Drosophila melanogaster: one gene and its partners. The gene in region 3 interacts genetically with the main gene of each other region. Each region holds a gene or a part of one and is shown on either strand. Other genes may lie near its edges. The genes, in order: ct, meru, Galphai and insc.

Evidence for each region.
Region 1: of Galphai (region 3) and ct, changing one suppresses a phenotype caused by changing the other (phenotypic suppression), as found in Drosophila melanogaster (one study listed by BioGRID).
Region 2: of Galphai (region 3) and meru, changing one enhances a phenotype caused by changing the other (phenotypic enhancement), as found in Drosophila melanogaster (one study listed by BioGRID).
Region 4: of Galphai (region 3) and insc, changing one enhances a phenotype caused by changing the other (phenotypic enhancement), as found in Drosophila melanogaster (one study listed by BioGRID).

The regions. Positions count from the first base shown.
Region 1 is NC_004354.4:7,607,447-7,612,174, reverse strand, and holds the start of ct (cut), read right to left. Parts: upstream 3,028-4,728; 5' UTR 2,760-3,027; coding exon 2,637-2,759; intron 1-2,636. UniProt on the Drosophila melanogaster protein: Regulator of cell fate decisions in multiple lineages. Specifically, functions as a determination factor that specifies sensory organ identity in precursor cells. Probably also involved in cell type specification of Malpighian tubules.
Region 2 is NT_037436.4:15,838,054-15,845,978, forward strand, and holds the start of meru (meru), read right to left. Parts: upstream 6,010-7,925; 5' UTR 5,491-6,009; intron 5,443-5,490; exon of another isoform or gene 5,353-5,442; intron 3,077-5,352; 5' UTR 3,033-3,076; coding exon 2,679-3,032; intron 1,944-2,678; coding exon 1,784-1,943; intron 1,602-1,783; coding exon 1,456-1,601; intron 700-1,455; coding exon 1-699.
Region 3 is NT_037436.4:6,974,006-6,981,606, forward strand, and holds the start of Galphai (G protein alpha subunit i), read right to left. Parts: upstream 6,040-7,601; 5' UTR 5,634-6,039; coding exon 5,513-5,633; intron 5,218-5,512; exon of another isoform or gene 3,642-5,217; intron 3,475-3,641; exon of another isoform or gene 3,164-3,474; intron 3,002-3,163; exon of another isoform or gene 2,317-3,001; intron 469-2,316; coding exon 1-468. UniProt on the Drosophila melanogaster protein: Guanine nucleotide-binding proteins (G proteins) are involved as modulators or transducers in various transmembrane signaling systems.
Region 4 is NT_033778.4:20,833,004-20,837,905, forward strand, and holds the start of insc (inscuteable), read right to left. Parts: upstream 3,026-4,902; 5' UTR 2,667-3,025; intron 1-2,666.

The DNA of each region.
Region 1 (4,728 bases), on a different chromosome or scaffold from region 3:
CATCTTTGAAAATTAAACTTTATAAACTATCAATGCTCGTCCCCGGTATTCCGCATTTCGTATTTTATATCCGTATCTGCATCTGTGATGGTGCTATGGTGGTGGTGACTACCCTATAAACCGGTTTCAATTCGATTAAAACGGAACCCAAACTCGATTTACTCTCATCTTTTCAATTCAACTTTTCTATTTTTTTTTTTTTAATATTTTTTAAGTCAGCAAATGCATTTGGCAATTAGTTCGGTTTTGTTGTCTTTCCATTTCCATCTTTTTTTTTTCTAGTTTGAATCAGCACAAATCAATGACAAAAACCTCATCTTTCATCTAGTTTTCGGTTTATGGTTTTTCGGATTTCGGTAATTGTAGAAGCTAAACAAAAAATCTGTTCGATGTTAATGGGTCAAGTTTATAGATTGCATTACGGAAATTAATTTTGCTCTTTTTAACTTTTGGTTCTTCTTTGGCTTCTGCTTTTTGTTCTTGCACTTGTTTTTTTTTTCAATTTTTTGTGATCGTTTTTTCGGTGCCACCGTTCTATATATTTAATGACAAAACTTTGTGTTAATCAAGCACATTTTTATTGTTGCTTTTTCGAATTCGATTTGTGTCAATTTTTTCGCGCGCGCTCTGTTCTTGAAATGTAAATAAATAAATAAGTGAAATACTATAAAAATTGTTTTATCAACTCATTTGGACAGCTGTAGACGTCTGTCTGCGGTTTGTTTAATTTATTTAATAAGCTTCTATTTTTGGTTGGCAAATTTAGTTATGTTGAATAACCTTTTTTTCTGCCGCAGAGAAATGGTATTTATGGATCGAGTTCTAATTTTGTTTTGTTGATCAGCATGCGAAGGCATGACGAAACCTTTCAAATATTGATTCATTGATCACAATCGATCATTGGTTGAGGGATCTTGAAAGTTATAGAAGACTTGAAGCTTTTGAAAGCCATTAAATGATCGTTAGGAAAGAGGAAAAAAGAACCCAAAACAGTGGCGCCTTTAGATGGGGTTTTGTGTTTTCGTTTAGGCCGCCAACACTATGCTCTATCACTATGTACATATCTAACATTTAAATATAACAAGCAAATGCATTTAATTAAATAAAAACCGGTTCTATTTGAGATCAGCAAAGCCCCATTCATAAAATCCTGTGTACACCACTGACTTCAAGTAATCCTAACGAGTTCTGCGGCTTCTCATCTTTTTGCCTTTGTTGTGGTTCTCCGGAAAAAGTCGATAGGATAGCTTTTGGTTTTGCTTATTTAAGTTTTATTGATTGCAGTTTGCATCGCCATATCTTGTACAAAAATATTTGTGGAGCGGGAAAAAACGCCATTCACCGACGGCAAATGTCTAGATTTTCCGGGAATTTTTCCATGTCTGTCTTTCACTGTGCGCGTCTCTCGCTTTTCACGATCAATCGAAGAAGAAACTCCAATTAAAAAATTTGCCCGGCTGTCGACGCAACCTAATTAACTTGCCAAACCATATAGAGAGTATTTTTATATATAGAAATATTCAAAAATATATACAGCAGTTGATATTTCCATGTCTGGTCTGGCAGATGATTTTCTTTTCCCCTTTTTGGCCTCTAATGTTATTTTGCCGCCTTATTTGTTCGGAGTCTGGCATTTGGCCAGCGAAATTCTCAGCATCGTCTGGCCCCCGCCTCCCGATTTTCCACGCCCCCTTTTACAGCGAAACCCCCATCTGAATTGTCTCTTCCGTCTGGCCGATCTTGTCTGGCTTTATCTTTTTCGGTTCACTGGTAGTAGAAAACAGAAAAAAAAACGCTTCAAAAAAAAAAAAAGTTATTCAAGCAATAAACTGTTCACTTATTACTTGCTTGTTGCACTTTGCATTTGTTGTTTTTGTTTTGTGCAAACAAATTTTTTTTCAGAAATCAATAATAGCAGAAAAAATAAATAAATTTACAACAAGAAATTAGACAACAATAACGGGCCAGCAACAATAAAAACACATTTGCCATAGACACGCAAACTCAATTAGTTAACTTAAGTTAAGTTAAGCAGTTTGCGGGGCCAAAATATGGGGGCTGTGTGGGGTTAAAGTGGGCGGCTGGGCGCACTAGGGTTATTGTTGTCAGCTGTGGGAGTTTCCAGTGAAATGCAACGAATATCACAGAACTCGGGAACTATTCACTGTTTAGTTACAATGATAATTGCAAATTTGTATATGACTTTTTAGTCTAATCAATGTATGGAAAGTTCTAATTTTAGCTTATAACGTTTTAAAGGCTTTCGGGCTTTTCGCGTTACGCTCCCTAAACTTTTCACTTTGAATACACAATACTGTATGAATCGAATTCATTTCATTCATATAAAGTTAGAAAACGCAAGTATCAAATTTTATGCTACATATAACAGGTGTAATTTCATCTTTTTGTTGACAAAAATAAGATACACCTTGCATGTAATATAAACGTAAGACTGTTTGTCAATGCGAATAAAAGTGAGAACAGAAGATAAAACACTTTTGCACCGAACATTTTACGAACCCGTAATCTCAGCTTGTTTGGCCAATTCATTGAACTATATTCATATTATTATTCTTGAAACACGAAACTTCTTGCTTTTAAGCACCGTTTTCCATCGTTTTGCTAACTTTTCTTACCTGTTGCCAAAACTGTGCCAATAAATAAATTTGCTCCTTTTTGAAAAACCAATCGTTGATTGATTGAACAGCCGTCAGATCCATATCGGCTGTCCCAGCGGCTTGTGGCAATGTTGGCTGCATTCGTGGGCTTTCTTGGGTTAATTCAATAATTCTCAGTCAGTTTTTGCTTAGGTTTTTTTGGGGTTTTCAGTTTTTGGATTCTACCAATTTGGGGCTAATAAGGCCTGGCATTATTCTGTTCTGTTGTCGTTTCGATTTTACTTGTTAGTTAGTTGTTATTTAATTCGGTTTTCGTTTTTAGTCATCACATTTACACCTTAAGTAGTATGTTTCTTGTTACGTGCTCAAAAAAATGCATAAATAAGCCAATTTCTGTGTGTTATTATTATTATTATTATGGTTATGTTATGTTTTATATTTTGTTCACTTTAGTTCCGAAAAAGAATTTTTTTTGATTTTTTTGGAAGGGGGTTTCTTCTTGTTGTTGTGTGGGGGATTTTGTTGTAGTCGTTTGTTGAATGGTGAGGGTATGATGTTGTTGTTTTGGTTGTTGCCTGTTGTTGTTGTGTGTGTGATTTTTTCAAGCCATTATCATTATGTTGTTGCTTTTTGGCTGTGGCTTATTTTGCACATGTTTGCTGTCGCTGTTGTTGCTTTTGATGTTGCTGTTGTTGTTTACACTTGACACTCATACACGCGCACATATTTTAGCGAACAAAAATGCACTTGAAAAAAATAATAAACAGTTATATTATACGTTCGTTTAGTCCTTTTTGATTTGTTTGGCTGTGTGCTGTTTTGTTTATAAATATGATCAATACGTTTCTTCTTCTTGGCAAGCGAGATTCATTCTTTTGCAATTATTTTTTTATGAATTTTTTGTATGAAGTGGGTGGGGGGATTCTTCTGCACACACACACACACGACGTACACACACAGTGAGAGAGAGGGGCACACACGCACACACACCCGCGCCGCGGCTAAGAAGAAGAAGCTGCACTGCCTTGTGGGGCAGTAGAATCCAAAAATCTTCTGAAATTCTCGATTTCTTTCGGCGACGGACGAACGAAACGACGTTGCCAGTCACGAATGCTGTTGATGACTGAACAAATCGAACGTTAACGAAGCGCCGACAACCCTCTGCCGCAGAGAGCGCCGACAGCGGCGTTGGCAGCGACAGAGGCGCCACAAACACACAACACACTCATGCAGCGCAACTCTCTCGCTCGCTCTCTCACGCTCCGCGCAAGAGAATCTCACTCAATTCCCGTGCACTGCTTTTGATTTCTTTCAATAGCTTTTTGATTTTCTCACTTTTTTTGCGCTTTCCTTCTCGGCTTTTTTTTTTACTCTTATTTTTGAGCATTTTTCTGCGCCGTCGCATGTCAGTTGCATGTATTGAAATTCATTCATTCACAGACACTTTGGCTAGTGCCCTCCCGCTCGCACATCGCTTTTCTTATTGGAAACGAAAGAGCCAGGCGCTCGCCTCTCTCCACTACTGCTTGTTGTTGTTGCTTATTGAGCGCAGGATTGAGTGCAACGTCGACTGTGACGCTGGCGGAGGGATTGAGATTGAGGATATTTCGGAAAGTTGTAATATTTTTTGGCTTTAGGGGGATTTACCTGGAATTCAAGTATTATTCTGAAACTGATAAGTTTTAAAGTTAAGAACTAAAGAACTAAAAGTTCCACGAGATAAGTCTTAGAATTAAAAGCAGCTGCTATATTCATCAAATGTTCGAACATAGTAAACAATAGTAGAAAGTGATGGAAATAAAAAAGTAAATACGAAGTGTAAATTAAGCTAAATGCAACAAACAATTCTATGTTTTGTTGTTTAATTTAATTTTTATGTTTTTTTTTAGAGGTAAATGTAACATTTAGAAACAATCTGTCCTTTCCAAATTTCCGCCACTTTATGATGCACCTTAAATTGCATTCCTAACTTAAGTCCCTTGGCTGGCTGTCTCTGTTCGGCTCTTCAAAAATCCATGGAATATTAAATTGGAGAGTAAGCCCCTTCTCAGCCTCCCGTTATTTTGTGTTTTTCCGCAAACCCCTGGAATTTGCAGTCCCGTTGCGGGAT
Region 2 (7,925 bases), 8.9 Mb from region 3:
ATTTTTCAATTCGAGAAGTTCGTGTTCAGTTTTAATAATGTCCTCGGCATAGGCTTCGATATTTTGTTGCAACTGCCCGACCGATAGCTCCATTTCCGGTCCCTTGTACCGTTCGTTCTGCAATCGGTACAGTCGGCACATTTCCGATAGCTGACGTGTTAGAGCGTGTTCCTTTTCATAGCGAACATTCATATCGGCATGAAGAGATGCCAACTTATATCGTACACTATTTCGCAAGGGCTTATCCTTTCGCCTCCTTATGCAGTTATTAACATTGTAGTTGTTGTTATTGCATTCGCTGGGAATCGCTGTTCTAAATGTTTCAACCGAGGCTTTGGTTATCTCGTGACGACTTCTTCTTCGATGACGCTGCTTGCTGACGCGATTCTCGGCCAGTTTATAAAGTTTGGATTTGGCAGTGTTTTCGGTACCCCTATACAGTTGGTCTGGCATTATAACCAGCACCAAGTCATTGGTCATCGTTTGCTTTTGGCCGTGCACTCTCTTCTCCTTTAATTTGTTCGGCACTTTTGGAGGCGTTTTTGTGGGTTTTGGTGGCGTCTTTTTACCCTTTTTCAGATGCAATAGCTTCTTGAGCCACTTGTACATCGAAAATCCCGTGGCTGATTGTGAATGGGGCACTAATTGCATGGCAAGGGGATCTCTGAAACTATCACGATGTTTTAAGGAGATGCGGAGCTGTAAAAAAACAGGAGAAATAATTATTTATTAATGAATTGAAGTTCGTTAAAAACTTAAAAGTTTATGACTTCTTGACCATGTTTTACTCCTCACTGTATATTGTTCTTATTTACGCCACAAATTGACTATTTTTTTATTTATACAAAACAAGGTAAAACTAAATATCCCACTTTATGATTATATTGTCATTAATACATCTCTAACAATAAAACTACCTTGGCGCTTGTTTTTAACCCTTTCCATCCATTAACTGGATAAGATCATCAAATAACAATTAGGAGTTCCTTTTCCTCGAATAACATTATTCCCATTGCTAATGGTTGGGGTCATAAAACATTTACAACATAATTAGACCAAAACGAAAACATGAACTTTGATATAAAAATCAATAAGCAAATTGATTTCACTCTGTGCGTCATAAACAAATAAATACGAAAAGCCAAAGCATAAGTCAAATGCGAGTGGTACTATATATGTACATATATATATACATATGTACATATATAATAGGCGCGGGTGTGACTTTGAAAGGGGGATATAGAGAACGTATGGAATGGGTTTTCGAGAACGACATGAATTTCTTGGCTTGCGTGTGGCGCCAGGAAAAAAGCGCTTATTATGCAATCACTGTAGACTTTTGGTTTTTTTTTTTGTGCTTTCGGGCCCCGTTCGCTGGTGTTTCTGTTTTATTTTGTTCCTTTTCTTTCTGCACGCCAGGTGGGATTCCCCTGGTCCACCGACCGTTGCCATTACCTCATTGTGTACACGGCTCCAAGCGCGCCAAACGGGCAAAATGGCCATGTTGCCATCATAGCACCGCTCTATTCCGCCCCAACTTTCCGTTATAATGTAATCGCTGTAGTCACGCGATGCTGCTGCCGTTTTCCTCTGGCCGCCATCTTGTTTTTCCAACGTGCGGAAAACGGGAAAATTGAATGAAACGGAACGAAACGCAAAATGAGAGAAAATAAAAGAAATTGTAAATAAGGAGCATAAATAAATAAAAAGCCAAATTGTGATGTATAAAAAAAAAAGTAGCAGTCACGACAGGATCGCCTGGGAATTATTATTATTAACCTACCTTTCGGATTATTGCCGCAGTAGAATCCATTGCCGTTTCGCAGTTCGTCATCAATCAGCGCCTTGATTATGTCATCGCACGTCGTCTTGTTCGTCACTCCGGATACGTAACGAGCCTCTCCGTCGTCCATCCAGATGGGTATTTCCTTGTGGCCTTGCTCCTGAAGGGTTGCCAGAAGAACAGAGGAGTATGTAGATCGATTAAGAGGATTGCCAGGTTTTTAGGAATGAGTTGTAAGATGGGGTATGGGTTTTAGAAGCAAGGGAAATTTTCAAAGAATTTCTTTATAGTAAGGTAATATAAATTTAAGGTAAACTCCTAAAGAATAATACTCATAATAATAGTCAATCAACTGTATTGAAATCTACCTGTACTAACTTTCTATATTGGATAGATATGAAAGTGCTCAAGGAATTATTTAGATTTGATTATATTTTGGTGGAAGCTCTATATATTTTCCTACTAAGCCAATATAATTAAATGGTAATATTGAGTTAAATCTCATTTTTATCTTATTTATTTATAAGCAAGTCCATTAAATGTTATCCTGTTCAATAAACGACTCCCTTTTGAGTTCTAAGCCCATTACCAGAACCATTAGATAATATCTAAAGAATTAAGTTAAGTCTCCTTTCGATTCTTACGAAAACGCAAGGTTGCAATCAATTTCTTGAGTAACAGACGCACTATCGAAGTTTCACACACGCTTATATGTAAGTATAACCCTATCCACATAAGCATATGACTACCGCCAGTGACTGCCCACCCAATTAGATGATTTGTTTTATTTCAGTGGAAATGCTGGCGCAACCGAAAATCAGGGGCGGGGACTGGAGTGGGGTGGTGAGTGGCCAAAGGAGCCGGAGGACCAGGAGCAGGAGGAGGAGGCACTTACCACAGTGCTATTAACGCCATAGAGGGAAATGGAACGGTGGCGACGACTGGCCTGGCCAGCGTTTCCGTTTTCCCTGCCGTGTTTATTTTTGCATGCTTGCCGATGTGGTGGTGCTGGTGCCATGGGTATGGCCAGAGGTATGGGTGGTGCTAATGGTGGCTCCCCCACCGATGGCGATTCATCCACCAAACGCTCCTCGAATGCAGCCTGCTTATTATTATTATTATTATTGTTGGTGTCTTGATTTTGACATCGTCGCGGCGGAAGAATGGGACTTTCGGGTAGATTCAATAGCGATGGACAGCTGTCCAGATTATCATCGATGAATGTGGAGTTCTGTTGTTGGGGCGCCATATTCCTTTGACCGCCTTTTGAAAAACCTCTCTGGCTAATTGGCACTGCAATGGAAAAGCGGTGGAAAAAATAGTTTAATACATATAGAGAACATGCAATATCCTTGTTAGACATTTTGTTGGTTCAGCTGGCTGTTCGTTCGCCTACGCCTAACGATCAATTTAGATTTGTTGCCCGCGATTAAATAAATTATGCAGTAGCCCTTTGCCGCACAACATGTGCACCTATATGGTACATATAGTACACATACATATGTATATGTATAGAGTTGCACCTCACCATAGACACACGACGCAAACCCATCTAGATTCCTAGAAAATTGCCTACCAACGTCAGTTGGCGCCGGTGGCCCATTATTCAGGAACATTGCCGGCGTTTAGGCTGTCGCACCATTCCCCCCCCATTCAATCCACCATTCGCCACTGCCACAAACCCAAGTGAAGCCATCGGAATCCTACGAGGCCTACTAGGACCCTATTCACCATTTCACGGCCCCTGTGGGCCCCCCACACATAATTTGTTGTTCGGGGGGCGTTGTACGAACATTGCAGTTTGTATGCAAATTCGCTTTTCCAGCCGAAAAACATTTTCCTTTCTGCTTCATTTTCTTTTTTTTTTTTTTTGGATTGCAATTGGTGGCCTGACTACTGACTTATGAATTAATGCTAATTTATGCCGCCGGAAAATGCAGCGAAGGAACTCAAATTATATAGATTGACGGCGGTTAGGGTGCTGAAATATTTTTGGCTAGCAATTTTCTAAAATATAAGTGCTGAAATTGCTTTGTTTTTACGGGAGATAGAATAGTCCTTGCAATGCAAAAGGTTAAAATATAAATTAAATATATACGATCATGTTATCCTGTTTAATTTTAGAATGAATGTTCCCAAATTCCATTCCAACTAATTCAATTACAATGAGTATTTAGATCTTTTATGATATCGAGATTAAAAGTTCCGAAATTCATTTTAACTGCTCACCAATTAATTTAATTTCAAAAATTATTTAAAGAACTACAACTAAGGTAAGCTCCCCAAGGAGCTTATTTGTGCTCAAAACTACAATTGAATCGGAATTTACAGAAGTTTTCAGAATTCCCTCATCAAATATTTATTTGCTCTCTGGACAGGTGCCGTTAGCGATGGGCCACGCCCCCGTTTCTATTAGAGAAATGAGTTATGAGTGAAGCAATTTGCAAAAGGATTTCCACCTGGGCCAATAGTCCTGCCACTAGATATCCTTGAACGGGGGCTGCCTTTGATTACGCTGGACATCTGGACATGTACAGTGTACATTTAAAAATGTAATTTCCAATCAAGATAAGTTCAAATGTAAATTTCCATTGGTGAGGTCAATTACTGAACTCTGACACGCCCTTTGCATTGCACTTAATTGTTTTGAGAGGGGGCTTGACTGCCTCCCCTCATAATACATTTATGAGAGGGCAGTTGGCCAAGTTGAGAAATACTTTTGACCCCCGAAAGTTCAATGTCTCTAAAGTTTAGCCAGCGATTGTGTCTCACTCTGGGCATTGTTTTTTTTTTATGTATTTTTAAGTCTTTAACAATTTTAGCCCGGCCCAAATTAATTGCTCCCCTGAAATCCTACTCGATTTTTTCGTTGCGTGTTGGATGGAAATTAATTTTGTTTTGGTACTGCGCATTGGATTCTAAAATGAAAGTAGAGGAACCAACGCTGTCGTGACGTTGGCAGTTCAATGGGGTTGGTACCGGTGGCGTATGAGTAATATAGCTATGGCTGTGATTTGATAATGTATTGTCCAAACTTGGATAAGAAAAAATTATTTTTGGCTTAGGGAAACTACTTTTCAATTAAATATGTAAACAGATTTGACTTTTATTTCAGTCGATCTGTTACTGGACATAGGAAGAATAGTATATATAGGGGTTTTAGGTTGTTTCTAAAGCTTAATGAAAACTCTTTCAATCGTTAAGATTGGCCTAGAAGTCTTAAATGAAAAAAAAACAAGTTAAATGGGGTATATATTATATATTATATATATATTATTATTATATATTATTGTATTATATTATATAATATATATATATATATATATATATATATATTATATATTATTATATATTATTATTATTTTATTAATACATTTTTTAGATCTTTTTTGGGGCTTTACTTTCCTACAACGTTTTTCGTTAATTCGAACAACTGATCTATATACATATAGATATACTGATCTGATACTGATATATACTGATCTATATCCATATACTCCTTATAAACCTAAGAACGCTCTACTTATTTTATTTTGTTCAAATTGTAATGGCTTAGAAATCGTTGTACAAAGCCGGTTTTTAAGTTTTGGCACCCGCAGAACCACAGAATAATAAAGTCAACTGTGAATTCTCCCAGTGCCAAGACTCAAAGTCAGCAAATTGAAGAGCTACAGCTCTGGATCGCTGGATCACCTGAGATCGCTTACCTTTAGATAGTTTCTCCAAATCTGGCAGTTGTCAGCACTTTTCAGGTTGATCCTTTTCGGCTTTTGGCCGTGTTTCTTCACTTTTTGGCAAGCTAGTGAGTAATTTGGTTCTGAAGATTGTATTTTTCAGTGGTCTTCACTGGTTCACACTGCAGCTGCAGCTGCAAGGACATGCTAATCCTTTGAGCTTTGACACTTGACTGAAGTTCAAATTTGAATTTGCGGCTATGTAAGGTGAGCTAGGCAGCGACGTCGACGTTGACTGCGCAGTTGGCAGCGCTGCCGCCTACCGGCCGGATAATAAACGAGTATATAAAAAGGTTTCTAGATCTAGACAGGTGCTAATGTTGCTGTCCCTGTCGCTAGCACTCGATTCGAGCCTGGCACTGAAAGCCTTTCGTTCCGAAGCGGCACAGGTCCTTGCTGCCCGAGGACTCGTGGTTGCCAGGAACAACGTTGCACAACAAATAACTGAACGGCGTATCCTTGACGACGGCAAGTGACTAACTAAAATTTTATTTGCTACCACACAAAACTTTAAAGCAAAAACGGTGCGAGCAGCTCGCAGGAACGCACACCGACACACCGACACACCTGGCGTTGCGGGAAGGGAAGGGGCAGGAAAGAAAGAGAGAGCGCCCGATCCGAGGGTAGGTTCCCTGCCCCTGCTGTCGTCATCATCATCGTCATCCTGCCACCGTCTTTTGGCCAACCACCAGCCACCACCGAAACTGAGTAAAAAAATATAATACGCTATATACGTCGGAGTGTTCCTACCAATTTCCACTAGCCCTAGCCTTCTAGAACTACTCTCTTTCGGCCAGGACCAATACCAATACCACTGTCATTACCATCTACCACTACCACTACCAACTACTACCACGACCACTCCCTTCGCTCTTTAATGCAGTTTGAGCCGTTCCATAAGCGAACTGTAGCGTGTGCTGCCCGCCAACAGCACCACCAACACCAGGAAACACCAGGAAACACTAGGAACCACCATCAGCACCAGCCAGAAATGCACTGGGAAAAATATTTGCTGTCATTGTGATCTTAACACTGCTCCTACTTCCTACCTACTATGATTTTCAGTAATATATTTTTTTGTGGGAACTGTTAAAAAGTTTTTATCGAAATACTTCAAGTTAACTTTCCTTTCTTTAGTGATTAATCCGCTTTTAGTCTATTGCATTCTTTCAGATACTTTTATTTTAATATTAAATGCGCATCTTAGTATTCTGATAATTTAAATTTAAATTTACATTCGCTTAAATATGACAATATTTTTAATACACACCATAAAAAAACCCCTTATTTACATATATTATTTCAAATAGATATAGATTTTATGAATGGGTTATGCTAATTACAATAAAGCAATGTTTTTTGCAGTGCACCAATGCCATGACGCGCACTTTGCGTTATTTGGTAAAACGAGATTGTTGATAACGTGCCACCAACAACAGCAGCAACAACAAACTATAAAAAACTCGCGGTACATAAAAAACGAATTTCTGCCTTGTTTTTATCCCCCCCAATCCATTTCGCCCACTCTTCGACCAGCCTATTTGCCACCCCCACTGTTTTTTCGCTGTGTATTTTATTGTTAATGGGTAGCATTTGCTTTTCGATTCAATTTTTTTTTCTGTATTCCTTTCGTTGTACATTTGTTGCTAACAGACTTTTTTCGGTCAGGATCAAAAAACTTAGGCTGGGAGTAAAAATATATGGAATCAAATTTGGGAGGGGTTAGCCCAATGCTATCTAAGAAGTAGTGCTAATGGTTCTAGCGACTGGCTTTTGTATCTCTATGAATGAGAAAGTAAAAGCCACGCTTGTGGAAATAGTTCGATAAGTAATCCTTTTATTGGAGATTATACTTTCATATAGATGTATTATTTTGATCGGTTTTTTCTTTGGTTTAATGTAATTATAAATGATATATATGTTACCCTTTGGCAAATGAAAGAACTGCATAATATTTATAATTGAATTACTTAGTTATGAGTTAAGATTATAATGTCAATGAAAATAGAGGTCTTCATAAGTCAAAATCCATACAAATTGCGAGACACAATATTTCTTCGAAATGCATTACACTCAATCCGATCGATCTTCGAATGAACTTGGTGTATATTTACCTTGGTTCCAACTGCTTTGCTTAGCCACCCAATAATTTCCATTCGACTCATTAGGATTGGGCAATACAAATATTCAATAATGTTCAAGCTCATTAGGAATCGATTGAATACAAGCTGAAATTATACCACCTCTAGCGAAGTTGATGGCAGGTGCCAACTTATCTGTGTAATATGACAAATTGCCCCACCTTGCAAGTCACTACAACTTTGCTTCGTAATGCTCAGGCAATTGCATTCGAATGGGGTTGGTTAGGGGTGGAGTGGTTAGGCCCAAAACCCTGAAAGGGGGGAAAA
Region 3 (7,601 bases):
AGTGCAGCTGCTTGCAGGAGAAGTGTGTCTCGATGATGCCAGTGGTCTTCACCCGCGTGCGTAGCACATCCTGCTGCGTGGGTATGTAGTTCGGTTGCGCGATCCTATCCAGCGAATTTAGATAGTATCCCGCCGAGTCATTCAACTGATATTCGCGCGATCGGGCGAAGCTCTGCTGTACGCCACCGTCTGCCCAGAGTTTCTTCATCAGGAGCACGATCTCGGGCAGCAGGATGCCCTCGTCGGCGGCAGAGGCGTGTGTGAAGAACTGGCGGGCAATGTCCGTTCGGCTCGGATCGGCAAACTCGATCTTCAGGCGTCCCATTGCGCGGATGATCACCATTAGACTCTGCACCGTGTTGCTGAAGACGACGCGACGATACTCCTCGCATTCCTCCTGCGAGTAGCCCGTGTCATGGATGATCTTCATCTGTTTCACAATCGTTGACTTGCCCGACTCTCCGGCTCCTACAAAAGAAATTCAACAGAGTTTATTAGTTAAGGTGTACTATCAAAGTTTATAAAGAATCATTCCAAGGAAGTGTGAGCTCAATATTTGTATGCACCAAGTTCAGGGCGTAAAACTGAATGAATGAATCGATGAGTTCGGTTTCGGGAAGGGGCTTTTAAGTTTGCCAAGGGGAACGGAAGTGGAATTTATGAATGAGACGATCGAGAAAAGTTGCTCAATTGCGCGACTCAAGAGGTCACGCTTAATTGCGCTGGTCTAGTTGAGAAATGAATGAACATCGTGTATATGGTCATTTAATATAGCATGTCGGATTTCAATACGAATCAAATGAACACCAAATAAGGGTCAATAATATTGTGATAACAGATCAAGTTATATGCACATCATCATGCTAAAGATAATCCAAATAGATATATGCATTTTCTAAGCGTACTACTCTGTAATTTATTATAATTTATTAACTTGCATGGCCGAGCCCTGGAGTTCGTTGAACCACCCACCCATTAGTTATCAAAGGCGTTGGAAATTGCGGAGAAAATTAACTGGGCATAATTTTATTCGCCGAGTGCCTTCAATTGTTAAATGAGACCTGACCCGTCAGCGTTGATAAACAACAAACACACGGGCTCGTCTGGGCAGTTTATTATATATGTAGTACTATGTATATTATCTGCTGCGTCGAATGATAAAAAAAAAAATATGAAACATAATCGCATTACGTGCTCGCCAGTTTCCCTTTTCGCTGAAAACTAAAGAAGTTGAAATCGCAGAGCAAATGGGCAAATACAAAAATTGGCAAATCTGCCGGTCCAAGTAATTTCGAATATCTATAGCTATATATAAACATATATACACGATGTTGGGGCATTGCAACAATGGCGCATTAAGCCGACTTTTTGCTGCAGTTGGTAGTTGGGTCCATTCCCAGCCACCGGATGATTAGGTAATTGCCAAAGCCAAAACTGCGACTTTACTTTCACTTTTCTCAACTTTCAGGGCTTCGATACTTGCACTGAAACTTTAATTGTTTTTACTATTCGTACGTATATCAATCAGCCATGGTTGAAGTTCCCTTGGGGCGGATGGTGCTCATTCAATGAAGATTGGTAAGTTTAATACATATGTTACGTACATTTATGAAGATTAAGAAATTCAGCCTATAGTTTTAGGTACCATAATGTGTTAGAATAGGGTCCACTCTAATTGTAATGTGCTGGCCACTGTTACACCTACTGTTAATATATATTACACTAAATGGCCACTGTTACATTCACTGTCAATATATATTACATTAAATTTGTTTTATAAATTTTTTTGAGTTATTGTTAAGACTTCAATTTTAACCAATTCCGAACAATGCTAACTAATTTTGCCACCAAAAAGTGTTGGAGCGAAAGAGACGCCTGCTGAATGCTGATAATGGGCAAACAACGGTCGCCGCATAATGATGAAATTGACAGATTTGAATACGAATATGGACATAAGGCGATGTTCAAACTTGCCACCGTGTGGAAAAAAGTAGCGAACAAAGCAATCCACAAATGAGCGGCTGGAAAAAGGTCAATTTAATAATAACACTACTAACAAAATGCGAAAGAGTGTGTGCGTGTGTGTTGGTGTGGCTGGGCCTTCATTTATCAATGCACCGTTAGCTGTGCCATAACACGCGCCCGGCCGACTGCGGGTGCGAGCGAGAGGCCAACAATAGGGCTGGAGCGAGACGGGCTCAGAACAACGGCGATACGCACAAAGCCGCGTTTACAAGCTCATTATCATCGCGATGGCCACAACCAAACGGTATTATAATTAACATCATTAAACAGTGAATATCGGCGAAAAAAGAATCGGCGGGGAATGCAGGAATTCTAGCTTCTATTGATATATTTTATAGTTGTTAGAAGTTGCTAAAAAAACTTTTTATTATATTTATTAGAATTTGAAATTGTAAACAACATTCAAATATTTGTTCAATTTGTCATAAATGATTAAAAAATCACTATTTAGCTAGATAGGAAATTTAAGGAAGACATGCAGTTTTTACTGCACCAACCAATTCGTTAGATAATTACTTATCGAAATTAGAATATTCATTGGAAACAGGGTGACTAAGGCTACGCCATGCGATGATTTAAAAAAGAGGGGAGAAGAAAGAACAATAGCTGTAGACAGCAAGAGGAGGAGAATCGTAAGAAAGTGTTTGCGCCATGAGTAATCAAGTTAAATGGCGCCTGGCCTCAGTTATCGAAGTGGGAAATGTGTTAATCAGCGGGGAGTGTGAAATTGAGCGGACCCACCGAAAAAGTAAACAATTAAATCAGATGAAATGCGGCCCCAAAACGGAAGCCCCCCACCTAGTAGTGACTTTCACGCAGATCTCTCGATTATCATGAAATTTCCTATATGTGATGTACATACATATGTACATCAATTATTTAACCACATATAGTATATTGACGTACATATGTATAAGGTCGCTCGCTTGGCGATAATTTTGATAAGCCCAATGATACTTTCAGTTTAAATGTGTTGGTAAGCGAGTTCTTAAATAATTGTAGATTATTAAGTTGCTGTGTGTTGACAGTCTGAGTGCCGATTTTGATATTGGTGCGCCAGCAGCATGACACTATTTTGTTTATATATTATTTTCTTCCCATTTTTTTCATATTTTTTTTTTTTTTTTTTTTTTTACAGATATCCGAGTTCTTACTCATGCCCCCCCCATTGGAATTCGTTTTCTCTCTTCGGTTTGCTGCTCTTTCCTTGCAAATATCATCAAAATAATGCAGTAATTCACTATCTTTGCCCTTAAGCACAATATGTTTGGTTGAAAAACGGTTGAAAAAGTTGTGCTTTTCAATTGAAAGGCTTGCGGAAAGGGGGGGGGGTAAGGAAAAGGGGAGAGGCAGCAGAGTGTAATATAAATTGAGTGTCAGCTGAGCAGCTTTATTAAATCTACTCAATAAGCGCAGCGTTGGGGGCTGCCAATTCCGATTCCAATTCAAGTAAGTAGTCGCTGTACACTGGTAGAAATTACCAATAAATTCAATGAATAATATATATATTTATACTAAATTATAAGCAATGTCTTTACTGCATAATTTGAAAACTATATTTTTTAAAGATATTTTTTTTAGCAAACTAGTACATTCTTCTTTTTCTTTCCGTGTAGCCGCGACAGTTGCATTTGATGGCGGGCCCATTTATTTGCGCTAATATCGTTCACCCCACTTGAAATGTCAGCGAACAAACAACGAAGCAGCAACAAAAACAGCCAATTACTCAGCTGGAAGTCGGAGGAAAGCTGCAGCAGCTCGGAGATCGGAGATCAGAGATCGGTTTTCATCATGATCCAGAAATTACAGAACACACGCCCCACAAGGTGCAAACAATTGAATCAAGTGTAAAATGTTGGGCTAAATTTCAAAATGCAACTGGTGCAAGCTGTTTTCTTGGCTATGTAAACCAGAAGCATTTACACTGGTCAACCGGGGGTTTGGACGAAAACAGCTGGGATACTGAATGATAATAGGGGATATCTTTTAATGGGGATGAAAATGGTAGAATTTTCCTGCACCTTTTAGCGGGCATTTTCCAAACCGGTTTACGAGGTTTTTCATTGAGGCAAACAGTTTTCCTTATTATCTTTAAGCCTGCAAATACAGTGGTTACTCACAAACAAATATAGTGCAAGGTGCGGTGGCTGCTGATAAGCTCGATAAATGTTTTACAGTGTAAATGAAAACTACACTATGTTCTAGGTTCCAAAAAAATCATTTACTAATGTGCATCATTTTTTTTTTTAGAAAAATCCTTTTGAAATGATAACATTTGACATTATGAATTAATTTAGTACAGTAAACCCTATATATCAGTTCACTTAATAAAGGTGTAGGTTGCATAGCCAGTCTTTGCTGTACTTTCCAGCCTACCACTCGTTGCCTTAGTCATCTTGGCCCGATTCATTGGCCAATCAGCCGCGCTGGAGGAAAACTTCCACGGCATTGTTTTTCGCAAATGAATGGCAATGAAATGAAAAGTACACACGCAGACGGTGAAATATATCATCGTTCCCATATGCCGTGCATATAAATCGGCGAGTGGAAATTTAATTGCAGAAGGTTGCAACGCAGCGAGGCATTCAGTTTCACTGCATTTGCCGCAGAGGTCGGGTCACCAAAAACCATACATACATCATATATGTATGTATGTATGTATGCATGTATGTTTGTATATGCGATACGATGGCGCCTCGTCGCTTGAATGGTTTTTCCTGCAAAGTGGAAACCGCTGCGCTATCAACAAACATGTTTCCATTGCGGCAATGGGATCCGATTCGATCCACTTGTTGCATCGATCCAAAAGATCTGAAAAGTGCGTGCCAGCAGATGAGAAACGAGCACTGAGTACCGAGAATCTAGAATCGAGTGTATCCGCACAGTCAAACCGACATTTGGTTTCAATTTACGTTCAATTCCCTTATCGCCAACGAATTATTGGACACAGACATTGCATAATGCACGATCTACGAACAGACGGATTTGTTTAGCCCCAAGCAGCCACATAAACATTGGTTTTCCCAGATAAACAGAGCTGCATGGAGTCTACTTACTCCATTCCATGCATATTTATAGTCGAAATATGGGATAGTTGGGGACTTTAGACTTTTATGTTAAACTGTTAGCTAGAATAACATGGTCTTATAATAACGAGTGATCTTAAAAACAAATAAATTACATTTTTCTAATTTTAGTCTTACTAATTCGTTATACTGTAACTCTACTGTATTGTTTCATCCCATGCCTTCCAGCCTTTTCCAGACCCTTTCGCACTGGAAAAGCCGGCAAAAATCCTTGCCCCAACTCACCACAGCCGAAAGCGCAAAGCAACGGCACCCAGCGGATACCCACCCCGCCCAAGCAAAGCGAGCGAATGGAAAAAAAAATGAGGTCACAACGCGAATTTCAGCAAAGAATTCGCAAAGGGGGGAAATACCGGAATAATGCTAGAGAGGTGAAAAGGTGAAATGGAAGGCGAACGCACCCAGCAGCAGCAGTTTCACCTCCGAGGCGGCCCGCTCGCCCTCCGCCCGCAGGGCGCGATCGATGTTCTTCGACCGCTCGATGGCCTCCTTATCGCGTGCTGTACTCACGGCACAACCCATCTTCGAAATATGTCTTTAGCGATTTGTTGCTCCTTTCTCACTTCGCGCACTCTTCTCACACGCGATTTTTCCAACAATTTCGAGATGCGTCTGCGCGTCGTCGGCTGTACACTTTTTTTCTTTTCGTTTTTTGTGTGCGTTTCCACCTCTCTTCCTTTTCACACAAACACACCACACATGCGCAGCGCACGCAAGCACACACACACAAACACACGCACACACACTGGCTTGAAACGTTTTTGGGTTTTTTTTGGAGATTAGCCCGATTGCATTGCTGTTTTCACGCTTCTTGCTGCAGCGGCAGAGCCGATTTAATATTCTTTTGTCGCTTTAATTTGCTTATCCGCTGATTTTGCTGTGCGCAATATGATTCACTTCGCGTCGGATTGGTGTGACTGTTTGCCGAAGTTCACAGATCGCTTGCTCACTGGCGTTAGTGCATTGCACACGATCGTTTGTGTGGCAACGCTGCCGGGTGTGGTACTCTGCTAGCTGCAGTCTGGCAGTACTCGCGGGGTGTGTGACTTGGCTAGCATCTTCTTGTAGGCAACTGTGACGTCACTTTTGGGCGGTAAATTTCAAATTAATTTAATTGATATACACGCATTTTAATTATCGCAACTTTGTAAACTTTATGCTTGAATGCCACTCATATGATCCTGTTTCCGCTGTTCAGTCGTGAGCCATACATGCATTATGCCCAACTTGCCCTTTGCATTTCAGTTTGTTGTTATAGCGCTTTAAGTGTAAATAAACATAGCCGAAAATATGATGTTGTTCTGAAATGCATGCCCCGCCACTCCCCCCTCATCAACACCAATGCAATGTGCACGCAGGCCGTTGGAGAAAAAGTTCTCAGGGCCCTGGCATAAATAATATTTGCCTTTATTTTGGGACAATTCCATTCCATTCTCGATTTGAATCCCAAATGTCTGCAGTTGCATGCGACGCAGGTACAGTGGAGCTCCTTTCTAACAAACTGACAATATTTAGAATCATTTAAAGTCAATTCGAAGAACAGAACTTTTTAAAAAATAACATAAATACGTCAATTCTTAAATAACAAAACATATGAGAACTAAAGAAATTACTTTCGTTTGCACTGTTAATCTTTTTATTTAAACTGAGCTTATATTTTATTGAGCTTATATTTTTAGTAATATTTAATTTCATTTTTTTTAAACTTATTTTTAGAGAATCATGCATATGCAATGATCATATAATTAATAATAACTTTATTAATGCAATAATATTAATATTTCAAAATTTCATTAGCATAATTCCACTTATAGAAGCTCCTCTGTTTTTTTCCAAATCGATGATATTAAAAGAAACTATTTTGTGAATTTTGTGGTATGGAACGTGACGGGGGGGGGGGGGGGGGGCTGGTCTTTCCGCAGCTAATTTATCTAAACAAAGCGATGCGAAGGCAGGAAGACGAGGATGCGGATAAAGATGAGAATGAGAATGAGGATGAGGATGGGGTCGCAGTGCAAAAGTTTTGCCGCCGCCGGAGGACGTCACATGTGGCCACCATCCCCCTCCCCTCCTCAAGAAACACCCCCACCCCCCTACATCCACCACCCCTCCTCTTGCTCTACCATGAATATAAAGGCCATCAACGGGTCATGATTTACACATGTTTACACGAAAAGTGCGGCATTTGCAGAGGGGCGTAGGAGTGGCGGGGAGAGGGACGGTGAGGAATTAGGGGGCATGCGGGGGTATCTGCTGTCTTGTGAATGAATGATCATTTGTGCGCTACCGAACACCCTGCAACCTCTGTAATTTATCGTAAAAAGCACAAGCTAGAGAAATATGGATTTATGCGGTTTTCGCTGCGCGTGCGAGCGAGAGAGAAATACAGTGATGCTGCACTGTGGGTGGTCGCTCTCATTCCATCTCTGTCGCACTTACTGCCTGCAAATGCGGCGCACGCTGCCACATTGCTGCTCTTGTTGTTGTTGT
Region 4 (4,902 bases), on a different chromosome or scaffold from region 3:
ACCACTGAATTTTTCTGTGGTTCGTTTGTCTCATTACCACCTCCCCCTGCCACGGCACGCCGTTTAAATTGATTGAAAAACAGCCCCTCAATCGATATTTATATCTACATGGGCCAGTCATGAGTAATTCTGCTCATTAGTAGGCAAAGGCAAAGTAATGTAAAAAATGTTTAGCTAACAATCCGGTTTCCACGAGGAGAAATAGCTGAGCTGAGATGCGATGAGTTAATGAGGCTCACAAAGTCACAAATTGCACTTAATTGGGTGTGTTGCATAGTGTAGAAATTGATGTATTGTACATTAAATTCGTGACTAAGAAAATAAGACAATTTTCGAAGTTCGTTGTACTTTTGCCGGCTAATTAGGCACAAAAGGCAGTCGAAATTCATATGCAAATGCCTAATAGAGTTGTCGCCAAACAAGTTTGCGACCAAATAGAATTCTAAAGTCTGCGACAATCTGCCAATTAATTTAAAAATAGAGACAAAATAATTTATGCACTTCAATCTGCGAAAACAGAAAGAAATCAACGGAACTCTTTGCCATATCGCATGAAGATATGATAATGGTTCGTTATCGAAAGCATTTCATAATAAACAAATCAAGAAAAAAAAAAACAGAAAAAAAGCGAGGGAAGCGTGTTGAATAACAAATTTAAGTTCTGGTCAGTTTAAAAGGTACGAATAATGGGAATTGCATCGCAAAATTCAACTGAGAACGGCCAGCGAAAATACAGAAATTACACAGAAAATGTTAATCATGATAATTAAGTTAATATGCGGGGTGGTTAAGTGTTAACTGAACTTGGCTCATTGGGGTCAGCCGCACAAATTGGACACAAGGTGAAATGGGGGAAAGTTGAATGGGGTGGATGGGGTAAATTTCCCCGCTCGTAACCCCGATTAATTAACCAAAAGTTACGGCCCAACCAGATCAAAATCGATTGGACAAAGGCCAGAGCATTGATTAATCCGGCATCCAGCATAATTATTTTAATAGTTTTGACATTTAAACGACAAATTAAAATGGAATAAATGCAAAATAAGAGTAATAAATTTTAATTGCTTGCCACGCCCCTTCCGCGCATCACTTGCGCCCACTGGCAGCTGTTGCATTGATTATAATGAAATTATTATTTATTTATATCGCATCTTTGCGCCATTGCATAATTAATTGTTGTCGTTCGAGTGGCAAACAATTAAATAATAAATCAGTTTTAAACAATCATTTAATTATGTAAAAAACTGAATGAACGCATTAAAACCGTGCAATTATTCAAGTCGCGGCAGCCATAATCCGTTCAATAGAATCGACCATTGTTGCAAAATGTCAAACTGACACATGAGTGAGCAAAAAACAAAGAGTTGCAAATGGTTTAGCAAATGCAATCGACGAAATGTTCCATTTCGCGACATTCCCTGACATTTAACCGACCTGTTCGATGGAAAATCAATAAACTAAGCCAAATTAAACGTTAATCCCACTCAAATGGACAATCATCATTGCTTTGGCATTTCCCATCTAACGGTAGCAACATATCGAACTGGCATTATATACCACTGCTGCTACCGTCGACACCAATTGTCAATGATATCGATCTCTTGGCCGCAACAGGTGAGTGACTTCCAGTGCCGACTGGTTTCCACGTCCAGACGTCCAGGTAATAACACCTCTCCTGATGACCGCCGTAATGGCCGGTGTTTAGCACTCTAATGGAGCCATCGAGACCGCAGAAACGCTCTTAAACTGGAACTAGATCAGTGAGATTATGCGGTGCTCCCTTGATTATTGCAATTAGGCGCGGGCAAACTGAAATTAGGGAAATCTGCGAAACACCACAATGCGGTGAGATTGAAATCGTGCCACTGATATATTCTGAGGTTTCCAGATGAGTCGAGATAACAAGTATTCGAGGTGGCGAAAGCCAACTTCTTCAAATGCATAAGCTGATTAAAATGTAAGAGACCAACCAAAACATTCAAAGAAACTTAAAAATCTTCTTTTAGAAATGTTTTTTATTTCAAGCTACATAACTGGATATTTTTGAGGACTGACTGGAATGTTATTCAATGTAACCCATTCACAACTGCCTTAGAGGTGACTCTTTCCTAGCCAGCAGACTATCACATCTGTGTGCACACATTTCTTTACCCAACCCAATTAGCGTTATCCAATGCTGGGGGCTTAGTCACCAGCACCCCCAGCTCATTCATTCCCCATCAACCTGATCAGTCACCTTAGCCCACTGCCTCCCCCAATTATACGATACATACGTATCTCAGGCAGTTATGTATCCACTCCGGTATCCCCAAGCGCACGGATGACTCATTTGTGGGATCTACGTTATAAAGAACATTCGGAGAAAAGCGAACGAAATCAGTTTGCGGTCTGACGACTTTGACTTTGTGAGGCTCCTGAGTCATAAAACGCGGCTTAGCGAGGTCCTCGAATGAGCAAAAATAAAAACCATCGGAATTTACTTCAATAAATGGGCGGAGGTACATAAATATATACATATGTCTGTAGTTTGTGATTATGTGAATTAAGGCATGTGTAATTACGAGGGGCGTATGCGGAATCGTATTGAATATTTGTGTTTATTGTTAAGCTTATTGGGGTCAAAGCATTCCGAATGTGCTTTACGGTTTATTGTGGCCAAAACTTACCGCTTTCCTGTATAAACAATGCCGAGGTAATCCCAAGTTTGGCTTATGCTTTTGTTGTTGTTTCGGCCGCCACTGATGGATAGTAAAATGTGTATTTCAAGCACGTGTCATTTGATTACTTTTGGGCACCACAAAACTTGACAGTGCGTATGTGTAGTGGGTGGCTGGGTGGTGGGGGTGCTGCACCCACAAGACAAAGCGTAAATAGTTTAACACTGCACAACGGTAAACACAAGTCGACACGACACTCAACGAACGTGGTTAACCCGAACGATACGAAAACAATGATCGAACACAAATATCTCGCGACGATCGCAGCGGTTGCGTCTGCGTGCTTCGACTGCTGGGAATCGAATGAGCGGCTACAGTTGGCGACTTCGACTCAGACTTCTAATTCCCGGGGTGGGAGAGCAGTAAGCCGGAGAGTCGGAGTCAAATTACCTGGGTGAGTAAGGTAGGCAGTGCTGGCAGCTTGACTACTTTCTAGCTAAGGATATCTAATACAATGTTTTAATTGAGTGCATACTTTGAATTATGTGTCTTAAGGTACTGAAAATTAAAGTATTATTAGCTGCTATTATCAGTATCAAGTTTTTATAGGTGATCATAAATCAAATTGAGCATATATCAGCATTTCTAGCTCCTTTAATTGTGAATCTGGCTAACTTTTAGCTACACGGGGTGTGTTATCAACATGGTGCGCTCTCACCTTTCTCTCTTTCGCTCTCCCTATTTGTTTAATAATAACGGGCATAATGAAGAGCATTGTTCGCTTTGTCGCGTTCGTTGTTGTAGTAGTTGGTGGTGGTTTATGCGCTTTTGTTGCTATTTCTTATCACTCACTCCTGTCTTCCCTCTCGCTCTTCTGCGCCAGCTGTTCCGGTAGCATTTTCAAAGGTGCGATCTCTCGCTATCTCTTTCATCTGCTACGCATGCGCAGCTGCCTGAGATTTTGGATTTTTGATTAGGTTCGCTTGTTATTGTTACTGCGATTTTGTGCGAATTTTGGGCGCAATTTTAAGGCAGTTATCTTTTCGTTTAGACTATTTCAACCCTTTGGTATTTCCGTTTCGAAATTTGTTTGATGACTTGCGCAAGTTTGAACACTTCTGGGTGATAAGATTACCCGAAACTTTTAAATGCCCTGTAAATAAAGCCCATTCATTCATGAACGCTCGTGGCCATAAAACGAAAATGTGCCACAAATACACAGTGTTACACTAAAAATTATGAGCAATCGACAGCAATTAGGCAATTGAACAATTTTGCACCAATTATTACAGCCATAAGAGTTCGATCGCCCACCCGTTCGTCGGTGAAAATAATTAAGAGGAGCCCACGATGTGTTTGCTCTTTTCACTATTGCCAATTTGAGATAGTTTCCAAATTGCGAAACTAACTGAAACAATAAGCAAAAGCACAGAGCCAAGTAAGCAAATTAAATCCACAAACAACTAATGAACAAAGTGCACTGAAACTAACAAATGAAAACAATGTTTCGCTTATGAAGGATCGAAATTCATAGAATAAAACCAATATTCAATACTGTATCTCGTTTAACATCTGTTTGCTATTGACACCTTTCAAGAAATTTTAACAACGCGTAGCAATAAAAAAAAAAAATGACAATAAATGCCATTTTCAAATGGCTATACAAATAAATCGTGTCCAAACCGAGAGTTTTAAATCATTAACACAATGTAAACTAAATAGACAATCTGATTTGACTAATAATGGTTTGGGCCGAAAACTTTGAAAAGCACAATCAATTGTCATTTATTGACATTTGTTTATTTTATTTGCTTGCTGACAGTTATGCCTAACTTTTTGTTTATATGAAATGCCATGGCATTGACCCCCAAACTTTTCAGTGTGGAGCCTCACAAAATGAGACAGTTCTGGGGAGCTAGAGGAGTTGGAGTTCAGAGTGCACACGAATGGAATTTCGCCCCATTCGTTGTCAATGTAATTTGTCAGTTCAAAGACCCCGTGCAGCACGAGGACTCCGATTCCAACTACAACTAGTTGTCGTGCCATCCAGCCAGGATGCAAAAGGACCCCGGATCCTACGTGCAAGATGTTTACATCGCGGCGTCGCCCTGACAAATGTGCCAAGTGTGCGGACGTGCGCCCAGGTCCCAGTTCCCAGTACCCAGTACCCAGTTTTCCAGCTCCCAGTTACCAGATCCCAGCTCCTAGCTCCTAGAGCCCAAAAACGCAGATCCCCGAGTCGAGT